Mytilus edulis: one gene and its partner. The protein of the gene in region 1 interacts with the protein of each later gene in a pairwise test. Links are inferred from orthologs where the notes say so. Each region holds a gene or a part of one and is shown in the gene's direction. Other genes may lie near its edges.

What was found.
Region 2: the proteins of teneurin-m-like (region 1) and filamin-A-like interact in binary tests that used the Drosophila melanogaster proteins (3 or more experiments, as listed by UniProt). The link is inferred for Mytilus edulis from reciprocal best matches to the Drosophila melanogaster genes Ten-m and cher.

Annotation. Positions count from the first base shown.
Region 1 is NC_092351.1:10,849,372-10,857,605, reverse strand, and holds the start of teneurin-m-like, read left to right. Parts: upstream 1-5,038; 5' UTR 5,039-5,110; intron 5,111-6,089; exon of another isoform or gene 6,090-6,259; intron 6,260-8,234. UniProt on the Drosophila melanogaster protein: Involved in neural development, regulating the establishment of proper connectivity within the nervous system. Acts as a homophilic and heterophilic synaptic cell adhesion molecule that drives synapse assembly.
Region 2 is NC_092344.1:98,892,216-98,900,170, reverse strand, and holds the start of filamin-A-like, read left to right. Parts: upstream 1-4,731; 5' UTR 4,732-4,831; intron 4,832-4,980; exon of another isoform or gene 4,981-5,672; intron 5,673-7,955. UniProt on the Drosophila melanogaster protein: Involved in the germline ring canal formation. May tether actin microfilament within the ovarian ring canal to the cell membrane. Contributes to actin microfilaments organization.

The DNA of each region.
Region 1 (8,234 bases):
ACCCTATATAAAATTGAGAAAGGAAATGGGGATCGAATGTGTCAAAGCAACAATAACTGGACCATAGACCAGACAACAGCCCAAGGCCACCAATGGGTCTTCAATATAGCAAGAAACTCCTGCACCTGAAGACATCCTTCAGCTGGACCCTTAAAAAATATGTATACTAGTTCAGTGAAAATGGACGTCATACTAAACTCTGAATTATACACAAGAAACTAAAATTAAAAATTATACAAGAATAACAAAGGCCAGAAGCTCCTGACATGGGACAGGTGCAAAATTGCAGCAGGTTAAACATGTTTATGAGATCTCCCCCTCCCTTCTTTACCTATCCCAATTCAAATGCATTTATCGTCCAAAAAAAGGGGGGGTTCCAACCCCTGCATCCACACTGAGAGGTATTGAGTGAAAGTTACCTCTAGGGAATAACAGTCGAAAACAGGGGTGTAAATTAGAGTGAAAGTTTCTAGGAACTTTCTCTAGCATTTCCCATGCAGGGGTATTAAAGATAATAAATCAAATTAAAGTGTGTTGTTGTGTTGTAAGGAAGAACTTTTTCATTGATTGTATTTATCAATTTGATTAAGCTAAATATTCTTATATGGTACAGAGCTACTTGAGTATTGTTTATATGAAGGCCTGTCTGTTTTGTTTCTAAGCATTTACAAAAAGAAATAGTTATGTGGCAGAATAAAAGTCATATATTTGACATTTTTTATACCCACTATTGACAATGCAGTATGTTGTAGACCATTTAGATAATTAATATGATTATCTGATGCAGTAGCACACCGACTTTTGTATTGTTATATTTGACATCTGTTTTTCACTGATTTTAAGATTACACATAAAATGCAGGATATAAATCGTTTTATCGATTTTTACACAATTATTTTAATTTTGAAGATGAAATTTATTGTTCATAACATCTGTCACATGCTTGAATTGCTTTTGTTATGTTTGATATAATAAAACCCACAAAAGACCTTGAACAAGCTTGTGGCTAAGAGATATACCCAGTCACTCAAAACTTTGTAAAAATAGCTCTAATTGTAATTGTTTGAATTTGATAATGTGGAAATTAGATTTTAATTTGAGCTATAAATTGATAGTTCAAGGGGATTTCTGATTTATAGAGAATTAATCCATAGTAATGTAAAGTTCATGATCTGAGTAATAAAACTAGTGGACAATGGCTCTGTAGCAACAGATGGGCAGTTAGATACTGACCGGTGATTTATTGGTTCAGGACATTGATATCTGGGATTGATAGAACAGGAATGGTATTCAATCCATTGGAAATTAGTGGAAACCCAAAAGGACTATCAGATTTACTAGGGAGATATAATGAACTGATAGTAATGCCCATATGTGTGATTTCTCACCCCGTTCTGTAATCTGTTAAATATTTGTCACATGGTTTTGTCCCTTGATAATCAGTAACACCTCTGTCTCGGATATTCCACAATTTGATACTCCCTAGCAGTGATACTATCAATAAAGGGGAAACTTGCAGTCTGTCAGAAATCAGAAGCTCTATTAATCTCTTCTTTCTAATTGTTCTTTATACCTTTTATGTGCAATATTAATGCATTGACGAATTCCCGCAGTCAGTTTCTTCACGCAGTCAGTTTCTTCACGGCAATCTTTTGAGGTTGTTCAAAGATACTTTAGTGTCATTCTTATATCCCCCTGTTCAGTCCTGTAAACAAATATATCTATGGGCCTGATGTAGGATGCAAATCTGGGTTTTTGGATAGAGATGTCAGCGATGACAGGCCACTAAAAAAAATACTCTATGGAACTGAACCAGTCTGATATTTTAACCTTAAAAAGCCCTAAATTTCACCAGTTTTATGTCTTCTATGCTATATAACTGGAGAAGTCACAATTGACTTTGTTGAATGAAAATATGGTAAATGAAAATAAGGAGATGTGGAATGATTGCGAATGAGACACCTACATGTATCCATTCAATGAAGTGGATATAAGCAATTATAGGAAACCTACCCCCTTCAAAAATGAGAAAAACCCCATACTCTAATAGGCCCTGATAAAAAAAAATGAAACTATTCAATTGAAAAAACTAACGACTTTTTTTAAGGCCAAGTAGCTCACTGGAGTGACTGATGCAGAAAGAACTGAAATAAAAAAAGGTTGAATTATCGATTTTGATGAAATCTAGTCCATTGTTGAAGAATCTTATCATGAAATCTGAGTTCTATTGACAGAGAAAATAAAGTAATTTGTGACCATTGTATAGAGATAGTATAACCCTATTACATAGCTTTATATCGCTGATTGCTTTCTTGTGTATAAGCTGATTTCATACATCTTAGATTGTATAGGAAAATTAAGCTGTTTCTTCTTTGCTTTAATAGTATTTACTGTTGTGTCGATCGTAGCATTGTATGATGTAGGTGGGATAGGACATAGGGTGATGTCAAACAGGAAATCGCATTGATTTGAATAAAAATAAAGATTGAAATCTGGAATCATGCTGAATTTATAAGAAATTGAAATGAAGAAATCTTATTGATTTAAAAAAGTTATTAATAGGATGGATATAGATATTTTATATACTTTTTGTCCTTCTGGAACAAATGTCACATGGTGCCAGGTGGCATTGTCAGCACTAAATGTGGAGTTTTCTTTATTAGATTCATTTGAATGTCTTATGATACATCATTTATATTTTATATCTAGTTTGATTTGCATGGAGGAATATCAATTATAATGTATTGAACCTCAGACCCTCCTGCTCCATTGACCATGTCTGATTATGTCACGTTTAAAAACTCAATATTTTTGCAAATCATTAAAAATGGAATTAAAGTTTGCCTATACAATGTTCTTATAAATCGTGAGAGTAATAGATTCCACTACCGTAACGCATGCAATATGATATTTCTTCTCTCGAGACTTTTAAATTTTAAATATTTAAAAGATACAGTATAAGCCTCACATTTTTAATTTGAAAATATAATTGTCATGAGACAAGAAATATCCTATCATGCTCGATGCAGCGGTATAATCAGTAATTGAACAAAATACACAATGTAATACCTTTAATACAACCTAATGTCAAATTTGAATTAAAATTTGAAAGAATAGGATGTTCCATGTTTACGTTGAATAGTAATGTAACTCTTGTTTTATGTTTAAATCTCTGTATCAGTAACAATTGAATGAGATCCTTAAACCTTTATTTTCATGTAAAACATGTTATAACTGCAACAACAAACAAATCCTTTACTCATGTGGGTCATAAAACCTGTTTTTAAAACATGAAGGAAAAATTCGTTAATATTTTATAAACAGTAAAAATCAATTAAGTACAGATCACTTAGTGTATAAGAGGATTTTGTGGGTGATATCTCATGCTCTCAGAGAAAGTGCATATTTGTCCTCCGATGTTACGGTGACATTTCTGACACATAAACCATCTGTCCTGCATTATAACATATATTTATCATGGTTATATGGAGTTATAATTGAATGGTGTTCTGTTTATAGGGCTGAGTTATTCCATGGTATTCATTCTCTCATATAATAGCTGATTTGCATGGTACATGTGAATATTGTGATCTATTTTTTGGGGGATGATCTGATGCTGGCATGTTCCCTTTTTTACTCCTGTTGGTAAAGAAACAGAAATTGCAAAGCATTTCATCAGGGTATTTTGTACTCTTTTATAAATTTTGTGGATTTAAGTTACCAAAAGAAGCTGCATTTAAGACCCATTGATGGCATTTGGCTGTTATCTGCTCTTTTGTCGGGTTGTTGTCTCTTTAAAAACATTTCCCATTTCCATTCTCAAATTTTAATACTGAAGAGGAAACTTCAGTGAGATTTAGTATATTATGTGATCTTAGTACATAATTGCAATATAAATCCTTGAGAATTTTAAGATTTAAAAGCATAGATAATGTTTTATAATGTTTGATTTATTGTAATAAAATTTTGTATTCATTTACTTCAATATTACCCCCCATATCGGATATTGTTTTTAAGGTATTTGACAGTTTACTGTATATGTGAACTTTATTAAGATTGCAGATGTGTTGTTTTTAAAGCAACCCAATAGCAAAAAATAAATCTGCTGAGTGCTGACCCTTATGGAGCACCTGAGATCACCCTGTTTTAGTGTTGTTAATTTATCTGCTGACCCTTATGGAGCACCTGAGATCACCCTGTTTTAGTGTTGTTAATTTATTTGCTGACCCTTATGGAGCACCTGAGATCACCCTGTTTTAGTGTTGTTAATTTATCTGCTGACCCTTATGGAGCACCTGAGATCACCCTGTTTTAGTGTTGTTAATTTATCTGCTGACCCTTATGGAGCACCTGAGATCACCCTGTTTTAGTGTTGTTAATTTATCTGCTGACCCTTATGAAGCACCTGAAATCACCCTGTTTTAGTGTTGTTAATTTGTGTTGCTCATTTTGTGGTTGTCAATGTTGTGTTTTGTATACTGTTTCTCATTTGTTTACTTTTGGTATTCAGCCTTGGCATCAATTTGCGTGGTCTTGACTTATGAGTTTAAATGTTCCTTTGGTATCAATCATCTTTCTTGTTATGATATGAGTGATAATATTACAGATGGAGTGAATTTATTTTGACCTCAAACTTCGGGTGATAATTGGTAGTTGACTTTTACGTTTATTGTAATTTATTCATATATACAACATGTTACATAAAGCACCCAAGGACTTGAGGTGAAATATTGAAATCTTAAATCTTTGTTCATAAGATTAGATAAATATTGTATTATTTATAAATAAACCATAGGACCAATAAGTATTGGTTATAAATGGAAGATATATTGTCAATATCATAAGGACAGTGATGTGTAAAATAGGATTTACCTGTTAAATTAAAAGTTAGTGAAATATTTAAACTTATTATAGAATTTAATGGTTTGAATTTTTATTGTACAAATACTTTAAATTTGTAGGTAAATAGTTTCCTTGTGAGCTTGTGGCTTATTTAAAACAGATTTCTCTATAGGTTTTTGTGTGACAGCTTTAAAAAAGAAACTAACTTTATAAACAAAGGATCATAACTGATACATGCACTTTCAGTATTTATGCTGTACATTCTTAAGTAAGTGAATATTTTGTTTATTTAATTTTGAGCTCAAGTAAAATGTATAATTTTAAGAATGGTAAAAAAAAAAGATTTTTTCCCCAGAATTTGTTGTCCAAACCTGATAGGCTTTTTATCATTCTTTGTAAAAATATTCCAAGTGTTCATGTTGTAATGTTTACAGAGGATGCAGGAAGCGATGCTTCAAGTCCAGTGGCAAATATTACATAAATATTTTATCGTTTATTTTTCTTTAAAAAAAAAATTCCACATGAAAAACAAAAATGTACACCACAAACAGATCATATTTTGATAATATTGACTTGCGGCTTCTTAGTAGTCTGATACATATATAATATATCGTAAAGTTATAAACTATATCATGTATGTTCAGTTTACAGCTTTAAGGTATAATAGATACAAGTGTTAACTACCTCTCTCTGTAGTATCTCTGATCAAACTGTAGTTTCAACAAATTATAAAATTTTGGTGAAAATGTGCAGGATTCGGTATTAGTATCAATCAGATTCTGAATAACCCTGCGCCTGATGAACATAAGGGTACCCTGTTTGTCCATTGACTTTTTGTTTTTCATTTCTTCTGATAAAGGTTTTGCAAACATTAATTTTGTTATGTGCCTCCATCTTCATGGCTCCAACTAATACCAAATTTCCGCTACTCAACTTTTTCAATAAGCCATGATGTGCCAGGCTAGGATTAATGAGGCTTGTTCAAATTTTATTTGGTTGTAAGAACTATTCTCAAAATAAGCCAATATATTCTATCAAAAAAGCTCAGCCTAACAGGATAAAATGGTTGATTGTGAAGACACCTCCCCTATATACAACTGTCTGATTCTGTGTTTACATGTAGTATTAACCTGTATCTAGTTATTTATATAATCATTATCCTATAGACCTATTTACTGCTCAATCTGGTCTGGACAGAGAGAGCTGTATTTAGTGTGTAATCGGTTGGAAATCTGTGGTATTATTGTGACTTGGGTAGGATGATCGCTGGTGACATACCATCATTTTATCTCTGATATAACTCATTGTTAACTTATCTGTAGACAACAATGACAAGTTTTACCTGTATAAGTGGCTTTATTAACTTTTAAATTTACTTGATAGATTATAGGACTTATTGAGAATCTTTTGAAAGCAGGTTGGTTATTTTCATTTTATAAATTTCATATATATATTTTTAGCAATATTCAAAAAACGCTTGTAGATTTTTAAATTTTTATGTCATGTTTTTTTGTCTTTTTTTTTTAACATATATAGATGATGGTGATTATAATTTGTTTTATATAAAATCAACATTTCATTACTCCAATAATGTCTCATAAAAATGAGCAATCATCATAAAGTTTTCATTTTTAGGGTAAGAGATAAGTCTGTGTATCTTAAACTTTTGTGTATAAATATTGGAAGATGTGGTATGAGTGCCAATGAGACAAACTCTCCATCCAAGTCACAATTTATAAAAGTAAACCATGATTGTATATGTGTAGTGTCTTTTTTTATTAAGAAAGAAAATAAAGGGAAAAAATCATTCTTGACTGGACTTGAGAAAAAAGAACAGAACACTCAATTCTTGAACAATGTTTTTGGTTGAATAAGTGGAAAATGATTTGAAGAAGAATTCCAACCAAACTTTCTGTATCTTAAAAAAAACAGACAGATGTTTTGTAGGAAGAGCAGAAGTAGATGAATTAACATTCTAATAGGTTTAATTCTCTTTTTTTCACTTCACAAATCAAAATAAATCTTCAGAGGTGTGATGCCATTTGGAAAAATTGGAAAAAAATTAGAACACTGATTGTAAGGGGACACATCACGACAACCGATTACTTGTCTGTCGTCAGGATTTAACGTCTGTTGTATGGGACAAATGGTAAACAAAGGACAACAATTTTTATTGCCTCTATTGGGAATTTTAAAGTTTTCAAGACGTTGAATCTTTTTATGCAAAACATTGTTTTTTATCCGAGAATCGTTTGACATTTGTGATTTCGTTAATTTGGACGTCAATCAGCTTGAGTGGTATGGGAATACATTGAGAACCAGGGAGAATCACAATATGTTGACAAGTAATTGCAGAAAATTATGTGTCAATTTTGTATACATTTTCAATAATTAGTAGCCTTTATAATGTCAGATCTATTTTAGAAATATAATTTCTTATAATGGGTAATGAATTGACAAATTTAAAGCATTGAATATAGAAATTTAAAACTGAAGAGTCATGTTTGTAGGACAATAACTAATTCAGAATTTCATAAAGGGTACTTGAAAAGACTTTGAAATATTATTGAATATTAAATGGTGATTGAATTTCATAAACGATGATGTCTACTTTATGATGTAATGCATATTAACACAAATTACCAAATTGGTTATATTTTTCTTCTTTTTTGAATACTTTAAAGTGATTTACTTTTGTAATGCATTTGTTTATATACTGAGGTTTCATGATTATGTGCTAAATTTTCAAGGATTTCATGGGTAGAGGTGACAAACAAATTTAAGTTGTTTACCGAATCAGCTTGTTTAAGACCCACTATTTGCAGTTCCACAAATTCAATTATCATGATTATTTCCACATCCACTAAAATAAATGAATCCATAGTTATAAGTATCACTGTTTGTGATTAGTTAATGTTTATAGGTTTGTATATACCAAAGTCAGAGCATACCAGGCTATCATTTCATAAAACAATCGTAGAATAAAGTGCATGTTAAACCCATAACAAATAAGTTGGACTGTAACCATGCATGTTAGCTTTTAATGGCTGTTTTAAATAAGGCACAGTGATTTAAATAAATCGTAGAACAAATTCAATTAATACCATCTGCATCTGCATTTTAAGTTTATTGAAAAGAAAATTAAAATTTACCCTTGAAAACATAAAACTGCAAGTTGGTAGACAGTACATTTGAAATTCAATTTAGCCTTCAATGATCTCCATTGATTTTACAGCTTCATGCAAACTTTAAGGGGAATCACATTAAAATTTTATGAAAACCATTATTTTTTTATTTTTTATTTTTCCAACTCGCTAGCAGATGAAACAATTGTATTCTGCCATATAACAAATTAATTTTATGTAAATTAGTTAGTGGATCCATTTGTCTTC
Region 2 (7,955 bases), on another chromosome or scaffold:
TGTACATCAGATTCTTTGATTAACAATCATATTTCTTTGACATTGCCATAATATTCTTTATTTACTATTGAAGAGATATGTTTGCCTACGCCTGTAAAACGAATGCATAACACAACATATAAACGATGCTGTCGGAACATTTTTAGAACATGACATTTTACTTTTCTTGTAATGCAATTCCATACAATTAACCTTACTTAATTGTTTATCATGGGTACATCGTTGCAAAGGAAATACCGAATACAATCTTAGTGTTCGATCATTGTCGGAGATGTCTTGTTATTTATTATAGGTTGAATGGCATGTACAAATATTCACACCTGTAAGCAATATCGTTGTAATACTGTAAAGTAAACTGAGCGTTTAATGAGCATTGCATTTGTTTTTATGAAGAAACCAGAAGATTCGTCAAATGTCTTTTATATTTTGTGACTTTTATGCTATATTAAATGAAGTCATTGCAACAAATGCATAGTGAAACGTTCTTTCGTTTGCCGAGAATGATCTTGGTTCTCGGCTATTAGTGGGTATTTAAGCAGGACCCTTCAACTCAAGCAAAATTTATCTTCAAATATTCCAATATCGATATAAACACCTGTCTTCATTACATCTATGATGCTGTACCCTCATATATTGTGTTTTAAGCATATATGTGTAAAGCTCACAATTCACTTGGAACAAAAAAAAAAAAAAGACTCCAACGATTCGTAAACTTAATAAAAATTATAAACAACCATAGATGTTTGCTTTAACTTCCTTCAAAAACAAACTGGATAATCGAAAACAAAATTACATGTGCTATAACAGAGTCATGGTGCATGCACGCACTTATTCTTTATATAAGACTGTGACAGGGTAAATGTCCTAGGTTTTTCATTTGATATACAACCTGCTGAAAAACAGGCAAAAGCTATACCAAAAGGACATTAAAACTCACTAGTCGAAAACAAACCTGACAACGCCATGGCAAAGAAAAGACAAAAACGAACACAAATCACAACATAGAAAACGAAAGAATGACACGAACCCCACCAAAAAACGGCGGTGCTCCGGAAGGGTGAGCAATCTTGCTCTTATCGTTAAAGTGATTTTTGCCTATAATATTAATGGAAATTTGATATCAATCGTGTTAGAGAATCCGTATATACTACTTACATATCATATATAGTATATCTATATATATATATATGTATAAAAATTGCGGTTTTTATCCAACGCAATCATAGGTTTGAACGTAGTTTTCAATTTAGACTCGTTTATATTTTTTCGTTTGGACTTGTATCATATTTTCCCTCCGGTTTATATGATCCGTTCATCCTATATTGACTCTTAAAATTCAAGAGTCTATCTAAAAATGAGGGTACTTTTTAGATGGCCTTCCAAATACCGTTTCGATCCCTAACATCACTGAAGAGACATTTATTGTCGAAATCTGGATCGGCATAACATCGTGGCCACAAGTTATTTTTTTTCTGTTAAAGCATTAAATTTATATTAAGATCCATTTGTTACATCTTGTGATCAATTTTATTTGGCAATCGCCAATGGCAGACAGCAGGGTTAAAGAACATCAGTTGTTCGACCTGTTAGTCAAATGCGTTTTGTTTAAATATACTTTTTCACTTTTTTTTTGTCTTTTTGAAAATGTTGTTTGTGCTGTTTTTAGACCCTTCTACAACGAAATTTGTTTTACATGCACACGTATAAAAATTGCGGTTTTTATCCAACGCAATCATAGGTTTGAACGTAGTTTCAATTTAGACTCGTATATATCTATATATAAACTTATTCTACGATGAAAAGGGAGGAGTAAATTGTGTCCAATCTACTACTATAGGTTTGGTGACGGAAACCTTTCTCGTATTATTTAAGAGAATACTTAACAAAAGGAAGCTGGTATAATACTAAGTGTTTTGTTTATAAATAGTTGTGGTTATAACGTGGTTGTCCGAAGAATGAACCCTTTTGATTAAAATGTCCTTATGCTAGGTGTTTGTAAATATGCAGACTTTGTTTTGCAGATCGTTGAACTTATCTATATTCGCAACCTACATATGCCTTCCTATGGATATTACAGAAAATTGTTTGACCGAAATAAAATAATAAAGAGCAAGCTTGATTCCTTCTGTTATTCCTGTTGGTTTTCACGGAGCATTTCAAATCAATGATACTGATATCCAAGTAGTAGACTCCAAGTAGATATAGGCTCTTGCTATTTGGGTTGATTTAATCCGCCACTTACTACGCCTTATATTTATTGCATGTTTCGAGTCCAACTTCCTCGACAGTATATTTAACACATACATTTGAATTCATTTTTGACAATTGTACATGCATGCATGTTAATACAACAGGAATTTTATCTAAAAATGTCTTGAAGGTAACCTTATAATTTACATCACCAAAAGATGTATGCATGTTTTCAGTCAATCTTTCAAATATTGTGTTTAATAGATGGTCAGCTCGTCAGTGTTGTATAGATAGTAAAACATCTCCAGTGCTACATATAGACAGTAATACAATCTCTTAATGTGTTTGCCATGTTGGTATCCCTATGCTTTTTATTGCTAACTATAAGATTGGTTTTGCGTATTTTCAAGTTTCGAACTCTGACCTGTAGTTGTTTTTACTTCTATCCTTGAAAATATATATCATACTGAGTTAAAATATATTGAAATGTATTGTATTTCTTAAATTACCACTGCCCAGTATACGGCTTTCCTTTGACTGTTTTTCAAGGCAGAGTGTTTTTCAATGCATAGATGTTCACATAGAGTGAGTTATACCTTACAAACTGAAGAGTCTCACTAAAACCGGTGCTATTGTGGAGCTTTTACTTTACAATGAAGGTCTCATTGTAACCTTAAGGCGAAGAACGGTTAAAAAGAAGGGTTAACTTGTTCTTTTCTTTAAATGTTACCAATACATGGGTATAGATATTTTAAGTCGTGAATTTAGACTTCACACCCCTTCTTAATGTGTCTGTGTTATTGTTTACTATACATCTGCTTTTGGTTACTCGTCGTTATACTATTCCAATGCCCTTGCTCTTTGACCACAGGAGGTTGCGAGATGGCATGATGGCTTTATCCAATCTAACGATGATTAAAATATCGGCTTAAAATATAGACCTCTAATCTATTTATCCTCATATAATCTCAATTTAAAAAAAAATTAACTTCACCAGTTTTATTGTAACTTTTTTGAATAGCTTTGCATGTGCGTGCCGATGTTTTGATATTGCATGGTCAGTTTATATCGTAAGTTAATCTGTGCGTCTATAATTGTACTTTCTTTTTTATTACAAGTCTACAACATGCAGAACAACAATTTGTAACATGCCTCTCTATGATGACGAATCGTAAGATTCATTCTAGAGATTTCTATCAATTCAAATAACTCAGATTGTAATGGTAATCGTATTTGTATAGTTCTTTTTTCCTGCTAGTGAATTTTAGTCATACTAAAACATTGGCTAGCAATTCCACTTGTGACAAAAGGTCATACGAAAGGAGCAAATTGTGTAGATAGTTCTATAGACAGACCATGCATGTTTCGCAATATACCAATAAATGAGTTAGTCTTCACCCCCCCCCCCCCCCTAAATCCGGCTCTGACCGCCTCTGATAAACATACATAACAGTGCGAAACATACAGAGATTCAAAAATTGAGGCTCAAATATCTGAAAAAAACTACCGATTCTTTCTATATAACGAGTAAATCAGACGTAACAAAACTTTTCTGTTCAAATATTCTTTTTTAAACTACGATAGTGTACATGTACTTCGGGCAATTCGAACTAGTTAGTATGTAACTCTTGTACACGAAACACTATGTAAAACCAGAACTATAAACGATTACTAAAACAATCTGTATGATGAGGGTTAAATAGTTTTTTTTTTGTAAAATGCTTGAATAATTTCAAGAGAGCACCGGCCGGCTTCTATAGAACGCATTACGATTGTATTTGCATATTTTTTGTAAGATCTGTTGATCTCATAATCGACTATCCTTTATTCAAACAAACAAAAATTCCACAGTGCATGAAAGAGGTGTTAATAACAATCATATATTATTCGTTTCTGTAGACGAATATAACAAGTAAACACAGAGCACCATTGTCGTAGAAAGTTAGCGCAAAGACAGTAAGGCGCAAGATATTTTTAATCAAGGGGTAGAGCCTAGGATTATTTTATGATAGCAGAAGCATGTATTACATGCAAGAAAATTATAAAACAGTTCTTTTTCGCTCAATGGAAGGACTTATTAAACACACACACACACACACACACACACACATTTTTTTTATAATGAAAAAAATCCAAGGGTCGTCACTTGTAAAATTATCGAAGCTAATAAAGCTTAGAACGTAAAAACTATTGAATAGGTTCCAAATTTCAGTAAAACTGAGTATTCTTGACATGTTTAAAACATGGTATGACATTAGAAAAATTAGAAAAATATAAAAATATTTTTCGTCTTTCAAGGTCGTGCCATTATCAGTAGAGGTTTGTTGTATAAAGTATTTTGAATAGGAAACATTGACAAATCTACCGAGTATTGCAAAAAATATTTTATCAAACGGCCAGTAGTGTTAAGTGCTTGCTACTTTTGTCCACTTAAAGACAATTTCATATCACTGAAAAATCACACAACATTAGCGGATGTCTTGCTTTTCAATCCTACCAATTTATGACATAATTTGTTAAGTAGTTGGTCTTCCTGCCATTTGAGGTATATTCAAAGTATAAAAAAGCTTCTGTTTGTTCTTTCTGGCTGATGTTAGAAAGATATGGGCTGTTTATGATATTAAGCTAGGTGAACCATCTTGTAAGTTATCTATTTAGTTTTATTTGAGATTTTTAAAGATATCTGTGTTCTATAATTTTGTTAATCTTTTAATAATCTTTTAACTTTCTATGTCAATATGAAAAAATATTTATGCATGGCTCCTGGGTAATTTGCATGAATTAACATCTGTTTGGAAGTTCAAAAACACGACCTAATCTGAAAAATTAAAAGCACATTATACAGCAGGAAATGTTTGTGTTGTGATCTAATCTACTATCCCAAAGGAAGCGAATATTTAAGAATATGTACATGTGTTATTCTGTTGATCCGTATTATCGGTTAATTAATTATTACATGTATCAAAAATACAATGTATGTGGTTATGCTAACATATTAATCACACAGGGCTCTCTACCCGTCTACCATCTGGAAACTTCTGGAAATAAGGGATTAATTTACCTAATCATTGGTCCAGACGTTGGTCATTGGTCCTCAATCCCGCCTCTTATCTAATTGTGATCATACTAACAGTATGACACACGTGCATGTACACAATCATTCACTAGTATCGGCTTTCACGCGCGTCCCATATATGGAAGTGATGCTGCGCAGTTGAACACTGTGAGTCTCCTGGCATTATCTTGGGAAGTGATTTCGTACATATATTCTGAAGAATCTCACGTTTCTACGATAACCAATCTGATCTAAGACTATTTATAAACCAACCCTGTTTGGCTTAGATGTTGAAAATGTGTGTACAGTGAGAGACAAGCCGGCTTGTTACAAAACATCTCCCTTTTCCTTGTCAACTCTTGGAGTACGGACGGGACCTGACTTTTGACCACCGGAACTGACTTTCGGATTGACTATAATAATAATAGTAAGTTTTAATAACCACTTTTAAATTAATTCAAACTTGAACTGTAATTATTTGGAACTTTATTGCATTGGTAATGCAGTTTTGATTGGCATGATAAAGGTGTTATCAGACAAATTTGTAAACAAAATGTTATTACACTGCCAATCAAATTATTAATTTTAATAGTTTTGAATCTGAGAGTTTTGATGAAATCAACATTTTTTATTAAAGACCGTGAAACAATTAAATGAACAGTTTTAATAGTTTCAATAATAAACATTGGAACTGTTTACTTTTTCTTATTTTTCTTTCTCTTCGTTACTTTTTGTAGATAAAATTTAGGTTTTTAATACAAGTACATGTTAAATGTATGATCTACAAAAACAAATTTTGTTCCACCAAGATAATTTTTTATTTGTTAAACACTTGTTTGATTTCGTACTTATTATGACTTTCACAAAATGACTTCAGGGAAATGTTTTGAAACAATATAATGCAATACAAATGCATTTAACAAAACAAAACAAAAAATGTGGGATCGAGTGTGGGATGAATATTCTCTGACGGATAGTTTTCCCTACGGTGAAAATAAAAATAGCAATCCTCTGGATGTAATTCATCAGTAGGGATAAACTTCAAAGATTTAAAGACGATGATGGGAGATTTTAACGACCGTTACTGGCTATACAGCCCTCGTACAGTTGAGTGTTTTTAAAAGCCGAGTAACACTTGAGAAGCTATAAGTGACAAAAGGGCCGGATTTAAGAGTGGTGCACATAGGTTAAATTGGTTAATTAGTCTCTTAATCTGGCTCAGTCATCTTAATCTATAGCATAGCAATGTGTACATACTACAAAAAACATCTATTATCATGTGCATACAGTTTAGGATCAAACGATGTAGTCTGCTGTAGTGTCAGCTAAGCAGCTATATAAGGGTTGACAACTTTTGACAGATTGGCGCGATATTTCATCTAGAGTTATTGCCCTTTTTCTGTATAATTCATGTAGTAATATCACTTCTGGTATTTTCCTATATTTCTAGTTCACATTGGGTTGGTATGAACAAAAACTTCGGTTAAGCAAGGATTTGTATAGTATACTATACAAATCCTTGGGTTAAGTAAAAAAATAAGTTGATACAAGAAAGAAATTATATATGAAGTATCTATATCACAAAAAAAAATGACAAAAGACATCCATAGACTAAGTCAAAGTGAGTGGAGTTCTGGATTGATTGATACTAGATTTCTGTACATTCATACTTATTGGTTAATTGGCTATAGAGAGTGTTTGTGCAATATATCTAGCCATGGTTAGGTTGAGAAGTACTTTCTTAAGTTTCGTCTGGAAACTTCGCACAATAATCACCAAAAATTAGAATGCAATGTATTAACAACCGGAAATCATAAACGGCATATGGTTATGATTAGTTCAGTTGACTCTTATTTGTTCTACACATATTTTCTTCATAAGTGGTCTTAATAACAAAGTGACTTTAATCAATAAGCACGTCATGATAAAAATCATACTGAGTAATGAATAAATAATTCGAAATATGCCACAAGATGGATACTACTGATCAAGACAACAAACACATATTACATAATGGATATATATACTTATGTCACATATTAAAAAAAACCACACACACACACACAAGCAACGATGACAATACATTTTACTTTAAAACACAGACGTTACATTATACATAAAAATTAACATGTGAATGGATATATAATGAATATGTGAAAATAAAAAATAAAAGTTGTCTTTCTTATACCAAATCGGGTAATACTGCTTGACATCTAAATCGTCAGAGCAAGCACTGAACTAAATTCTAATTCTGGTTATATAATCATATCAGGATAATTCCTGTATTTCTGATATCTACGTACAGTTTAATACAATGTTCAAATGTCTTATAAATATTCAAAATATTTAAAAGATATCGTCTTATTTCTTACATAGAGATATTGATCTATACTCAAAGACAAAAAACTACAGTTTATTATTGAAGAAGACGCCTATTGTTTATGGATTCAAACCGACCTTCATCTTTGTCAGTTTTTTTGTGGGGCTCGTTTAACTCAATCTTAAGTGCTTTTTCTGTGGTGTTTTGTTTACTGCTGTTTGTCTGTCTGTTATATTTTTTGTTGTCATTGCATTGTCAATTTGTTTACAGCTTTTGAGTTAATAAATTCCTCTGGCATTTTTCTGCCTCCTTTTTACCAGTTAGACTTACAAAACAGCCGAAATACATCTAACTAAAATCCCAGAATTACAACATTAATTTGAAAAACAA